Xenopus tropicalis: one gene and its partner. The protein of the gene in region 1 purifies or fractionates together with the protein of each later gene. This does not show direct contact. Links are inferred from orthologs where the notes say so. Each region holds a gene or a part of one and is shown on either strand. Other genes may lie near its edges.

Region 1 (3,572 bases):
TAAAAAAAAAATCTGTTTGGCTTGAAAAATGGATTTCAATGCAGGATTGTGCTGGAAAAGCTATATTAACTGATGCCTTTTGAGAAACACATGTTTTCCCATGACAGTATTCCTTTAATGAGGCACACTCATTCCACACACTAATATAGAGTCCATAAGAAAACAATGATAATTTATACTGTTACCTTAATTGTGTGTCTGTTATTTGTTTCTCATGTATGTAGTCAACAAACAGAATCTCTTGAGCAAAGTCAAAATGGCAGTTGCCAGGTCCTTTACGGATAAGAAACCCTTCTGGCGGAGAAATAGTATGTCCATCTAGTGTAAGATGTACAATCTTACCCTATAATTGGATAAAGAAAAATCATTGTTTACTACTACAGTTCACTTGTGGATGGAACAATGCCCAATATGAATGATCTATTTCAAGAAAACATATATGATTTCTTACCTTGTCCATATTAAGGCTGCCAACCTGGCTACTCTTGGCAAAGTTAGCAACTTGCTCCCCCTTGTATACAGCAAAAACTATGACAGGAGTTGGATAAGGATTTTTTACTTGGCAAGACTGTAAAATGGCATCAGTTAAGGGCAGCATATGGCTGTTGATGCTAAGTCATCTCCAAACCATTTTGCACAGGTTTTAACCATAACCTATGTTATTTATGCAATCTCTGGTCGGTGGGGGGGGGGGGTAAAACAACTGGACAAAACAGTCCAATTGGGCCCACCACCTGTATGGCCAAATTAGTCAAAAATTCACGTGAATTAGCCAAAGATAGACATGTAACCTGCAATACTATAAATATATTTAATAGTTAAAAGGGACTTGCTTTAATAGCCAAGATCAAAATACAATTTATCTCTGAGCAACCAGTTGTCAGGGCACATATGATAATTGTAGGAATTTGACAACACATTTTAGCTAAAAACTGCAAAAACTACAAAAAAAAAGAATATCTTATATATATACAAAAAGTAAAAAAAACACTGTACAACTTGTAAGCTACTGAATAATTCTAAATTCGCCATACTAGACACTATTGATCATAGGAAGGAGCTAATAAACTGTTTTTTAAAGTATTGCAGCAAATGATTTAATATTTGCGGAAAAAAGTCTTTTGAGTGACTACTGAAAATTTCTTTAAGGTTTTAAATAAAATTCCTTTGTATATTTCTATTTCAGAGATGTCCTAATTATGCAAGATTCACTAGAGTAGTGAAAAAAACACACTCTCTTATGCTAAAAGTTTTGAGTTAAATACAAGCACTAGCAATCCCATGGTCACTCTTGAACACAGAGATTTCTAAATAAAAAAAAACAAGGAACCAATTGCAGCAGGTATGGGACTGCCACTTAATAAGGTTTTAGATATTTTTAACCTCCAAAAACAAATCTGAGGATAATCCACACATTTTCTGACAATCTGTCTCTACCAGAATTTTCTTCTTTTGTACTTCAAATAACTAGTCCAAAGTTCTCAATCTCCATTTCCAGAAATTCTACATCTTGGGGCATATTTATTATAGTGTGTAAGCCAACATTACCAGTGATGTTGCCCATAGCAACCAATCAGATCTTTGCTTTTCTAACTTGTTGGTGACATTTCAAATCTAATTGATAATCCACTGTTTCCCATACATTTATATATCCTCTAGCGAATTGTACTTTCTACCTTTGATAAATATCCCCTATAATATCCAAGTGCAACACCTAAAGTTCTAGGCGATGAGCAAGAGTAAAAAAAAAAAAAAAAAGTGACAATGACACTATACAGATATTAGCATTTTGTATCATAGTAATATAGTAATTTATTTAATTATCCTGAAGAAGATGCCAAGATCCTCTTGGACTTTGGATACTGTAATAAAATGGCTGGGTTAGTTGTTGATGGACGATATGTTTCTCCCAGGGTTTTGCATAGTGGGTACCCTGGAACATGGAATAATTAATCACAAACCTTTAATACAGACCTTAGCAGCAAGGTGATTGCTGCAGCTGAGAGCCTTTTAAAAAGACTCCAGTGTGGGGAGGGGGAGTCTCTTTCCCACTACACAGGTAGCAGGAGCTGCGCTGCATGGGAAAGGTACTGATGATTTCTGATTTTGTTTTCTTTTGTTAAGTTGGAGTGGGAAAAGCCACCCAACTGTAGTTAGGCTGCCAACTGTGTTTAGCCAGCTCTCTGGTGCAATGGTTTATTGTCTTGTTTCTTATTTTGTGTTTGTTACTGAAGTTTTGTAACAAAATAAACTGCTGGCACTTGCCTGTAAGAGAGCAACCTCCGTGACTGCTATGTTTACCCTAAAAGACTGTGGGAAGCGGCCCTAAGACACTGAAGCAGATCCCCCTGTAGGTTCAAGTGTCACAATACACTAACCCAGAGTGCATTGATCAAAGCAAAAAAAAAGAAGTACTCTCTAATGAGCTTTCATATACTAGCGTTTATTTTTGTTTTTTTTGTTTAAATGAAGAGTGCATTTTACTGGTGCTTAGTTACATCATACAGACTGAGCTGTTGCTGAACCAAAGCTCACCAACAACAGCAGAGTTTTCTTTTATATAAACCCCAGGGCTGCTCTAAGTGAGCTTCCACTTGCCAAATATATGTCCTCTTCAATTAGCCATCCTTTTGTATGTGTGCAACTATTATATGCAGGCATCATCAAGCAATTTGCTTTTCACTCACTGGTATAAAAGTTCCAGCTTAATCTAAAATTTTGTCGTGCAGTTGTATGACAGCAATCAGATCTGTAAGACTGGTTTCATAGTGTTGACAGTTGCCACATATGTGGTACACAGACCTTTAACTATATGAACAGCTTACGGAAGAAAGGAAGATGTGAAAAGAAATAATAGAAGGGCAAGAGAGGGGTAACAGCCAAACAGGAAATGAAATAATTAGGGCAATCTAACTTTAAGGAAAAAAAGTAAAAAAAAATGGAGAAAAGATGACCTAAAGGAATGTTAGTTACGAGACAAAGCTGAAATTCATGTAATTGGTATGGACTTTAATTTGATTGTTGAAATGACGGTGTGGACTAGAGTTGTTTAATTCTTAATTCCAACAATTTAGCATAAATTAAGGCTTCAATAAAATTGAAAGAGATAATTACTGTATATACTCGAGTATAAGCCGATCCGAATATAAGCCAAGGTACCTAATTTTACCTAAAAAACTAGAAAAACTTATTGACTCGAGTATAAGCCTAGGGTGGGAAATGCAGCAGCTACTGCTAAGTTTCAATAATCAAAATAAATACCAATAAAATGACATTAAATGAGTGGGGTATATGTTTTTAAATATTTATTTAAACACAAAGAATTAAAATCCTTCAAAACTATATATAGTTTATATAGAATATAAAGTGCAATGTCTAGTGCAGAATGGGACAGGTGAGGATGGTAGATGAAGATGAATTTGGGAGCAGGCCAGGGCACTGGAGGGTCTGGTTGTGGGTGGCCTAATTTGCACACAAAGGACAGAGGGTGCTGGTCTGGAGGGACCCATGGCACCCAACTCAAGTATAAGCCGAGGGTGACTTTTTCGGCAAATTTTTGGTGCTGAAAAACT
Region 2 (3,572 bases), on another chromosome or scaffold:
CAAGAAATGATCCAACAGACCTCAGGGATCCATAATCTAGACAGGAAGATGACAGGATGCATACATTAGTGTACTGAAAAATACATGCATCTGTGAGTGCTCACATTTAACACTCTCTTGCAATGGGATTTACAAAGATTGGCTCTATTTCATATAGCTACAAAAAGGCACACTAACACCCAATGCAAAAATAATTCACAATAACATTACAATATGTTTGAGAAAGGAGGCCCCTTAGAACATTTTGATGTTGTGGCACCCCTTGGAATACAGCTACATGTTTGTATGTATTAGTGAAGAAAAAAAAGGAAAGTGAAGTGCTGTGTAAATTAGTTTGCAATAAACACTTACTTGCTGAAAGAACAGTTAAAGGGGAACTAAAATCTATAATGAATAGTGCAGGAAATGCTGCATTTTATATAATGAACTTAAGGTACTGGCACAGAGTAGTTCAACAGCACTGTAACAGTAATAATCCATACCTTCAAAGTTCAGCAGATCTTAGTGTGGTTTGAGCTGCTTTTAAAGTTCAGGTAAATTCTAAATTTTTCTACCATGTATATAAGTCAGGCACATCTGCGCCACCCAAACAGTATCATTTATACTCTATGTATCCCCCCCACCAAAAAAAGAGCACAGTTAAAGCATAGTTTTTCTATGGTAACCAGCAATGCCATCTCTTCACTGGTGGCTAGAGTGAAGAGAATAATGTTTGGTAATCTGAGCTGAGATTGACTGTTTTAGCTAGGAAGTGAGCATGCCCAGTAGCCAACAGCCAAAGTAAATTCCCAAGGGAGGGGGGCTGAGTGGGTTAGAGGAGGAGAAAGAAACCCAAGTGATTAAAGGGTGGTTCACCTTTAAGTTAACTTTTCGTATATAGAATGGCCAGTTTTAAGCAACTTTTCATTTGGACTTCATTATTTATTTTGTACAGTTTTTGAATTATTTGTCTTCTTCTGACTCTTTGCAGCTTTCAAATGGGGGTCAATGACCCAAGCAGCCAAAAACTATTGCTCTGTGAGGCTGCAATTTTATTGTTATTGTTACCTTATATTACTTATCTTTCTGTTCAGCCCCTCTACTATTCATATTCCTGTCTCTCATTGCAACTCTACCTTAGGGTCCCAATTAGCTTAGCAACCAGGGACTTGCTAGCAACCAGATAACAGCTAAAATTTCAACCTGGAGAGCTGTTGGAAAAATAATTAAAAAACTACAAATAAAAAATGAAGACCAATTGCAAATTGTCTCAGAATATCGCTCTCTACATCAGTGATCCCCAACCAGTGGCTTATCAGCAACATGTTGCTCCCCAGTGGATGTTGCTCTCAGTGCCCCCAAACCAGGTAGTTATTTTTGAATTGCGTGCGTGCATGTGGTAGGCACCAGAAAAGAAAGATAAGTTCAGATTTTTGCAGTGGTGTCTTTATATACTTCTGTTTACTCACTGGGAGTTGGATCTGTAAGTGGAGCTAACTGCACCTTCTGCCCAATATAGCCAATATCTTTTTTCAAAAAGGCTGGCAGATAACTAGAAACTGGGTCACTGCTTCCTTTCTGACCTTGAAGACAAAAAAAAAAAAGAAAACATAAAACCTGTTACACAAAAGCACACAACATACTGGAGACGTATAGTTTAATTATGCCTATAATTGCTGTATTATAGCATTGGTTGGGTTTTTTTTCTGCCATGTGAGAAATTGTTGATAATACATTTCATGTATAGATTCACACAACACAATTGCACAATACATAAAAAAAAAAAAAAAAAAAAAAGAATCTATATTTGATGTTGTACTGACAAAATGAATAATTTTGTGGTACATACAAGATAAACACAAAAGTGTTTAACATTTACTAAGAAGCTGTTTAGTGTTCGTAAAAACGTTAAAAGTGTACTATTTCACCCCTACCTGAAAGCCTGCTATTGGTCTCAGATGCCAAGCCCAGTGGCTTAATGGGCTGAAGAGGAATTGGCCACGGATTTGAAACATTTGTAGAATCACTGCTTGAGGATTTGCCTGCACTGTTGTTGATAGTAAGACCTGCAAATTCAAGGGACACCAATTGTCACCAGAAACCAGCAGTAACCTTTTCACTGGATTTGTCTTTTGTAGATCAAGAATAAACATGAATAAACATCAACATGAACAGACACAGACAGAAAACCTAGAAAGCATAACATAAAGGGCAGTAAACTGCTGGTTTGTTTTCTGTGAAAATTGATAAGAACCTTTGTTATTTAGACCTTTTACAGATGGACATTATTTTCTGCGTTCAGACTCATCTAGTTCCTATTCACCTGCGTTCAGCACTTGCCTGCTCCCTACTAATAGAACAGACTGGACAAGGAAAGCAAACTTAAAAAAAAAACCACACTGCCTTATTTAATATTTTAAACAATTTTATAAAATATGGTAAAGATGATTATACACTGACCAGGCAAATAGCGGGAGTGCTTTAAGTAATGTTGTTTTGCTGCCGAGGCTCTTCTGGAAGTAGCAGAATCTTGCTGAGCGAACGAGTTGAGTTCTGACCCAGCAGAACCATTGTCTGCATTCTTTAAATCCACTATACTTTTAAAGCTGCTCAAAGACAAAACATGAGTTTCTGTTAACTTTTTAAGCAAAATCACAAGTTAAATGAAAAATAAATTAACATATAACATAAACAGGGTTCTCTTCATTGGTTTGTCCCACAATATTACAGCTAGCAATTACTGCATGCATGTGAGATTTTACACCACATTTACAGAGAGTGCAAAGGGATTAAGCATTCATTCTCTTTTCCACCGATGGAGACATTCATATCTGGAAAAAGTATGAGGTTATGCAATAAAATTATGTTAGAGGAGCCTTTACAACAGATGGCAGAGCATCTCATTGCAATAATTAGGTAAGATTTTTTAGACTCATACATCGGTTCTGAGCAAAAGAACTACAGAACAAAAACAGCCCAGGGTTTATACAGACTTTGTAACAGTAGCATATGTCATAAGACACGTTATGAGCATAGGTGTTACCAGTTTACCAGTATACGCCCATAGAAAAATCTGTTCACAGCACAGAAAACAAGGTCTTTGCCAAATAGGTGGTTTTGTCTTCAAGGCTATAATTGATGTAACTAGGCTATCTTGAGAACAGAATCCTTCCACACACAGAATGTATTCCTTATCACTGGAAACCTGTTATCCAGAGAGCTCTGAGTCCAACTCCCAGAGACTCCATTTTAATTAAATAATCCAAAATTTTAAAAACACAACTTTTCTTTGCCATAAAAAAAAAGTACCTTGTATTTGATCCCAACTAATCTATATTAATTAATCCATATTGGAGGCAAAACTATTCTGCTGGGTTTATTTCAATTTCAGTGTTTTTTTTAGTAGTTAATTATGAATAGAAACCCTATCTGGAAAACTCCAGGTCCCAAGCATTCTGCTTAAACAGGTCCATACATATATCTCAAATACAATTTCCTATACTAGGCTGAACGTAAGCAGTATTAGGACAGCTAGCTCCTTGCTGTGTCTTTTAATGCTGTATAAACTTAAACGTGGCCCTTTGGTGTTGATG

Evidence for each region. The genes of interacting proteins can lie anywhere in the genome.
Region 2: the proteins of kiaa0556 (region 1) and cilk1 purify together in Homo sapiens (affinity purification with mass spectrometry; 3 studies listed by BioGRID and IntAct, with this or other methods). This does not show direct contact. The link is inferred for Xenopus tropicalis from reciprocal best matches to the Homo sapiens genes KATNIP and CILK1.

The regions. Positions count from the first base shown.
Region 1 is NC_030685.2:40,175,374-40,178,945, forward strand, and holds part of kiaa0556 (protein KIAA0556 homolog), read right to left. Parts: intron 344-3,572; coding exon 186-343; intron 1-185. UniProt on the Homo sapiens protein: May influence the stability of microtubules (MT), possibly through interaction with the MT-severing katanin complex.
Region 2 is NC_030681.2:96,867,697-96,871,268, reverse strand, and holds part of cilk1 (serine/threonine-protein kinase ICK), read right to left. Parts: intron 2,586-3,572; coding exon 2,440-2,585; intron 2,046-2,439; coding exon 1,914-2,045; intron 1,563-1,913; coding exon 1,449-1,562; intron 37-1,448; coding exon 1-36.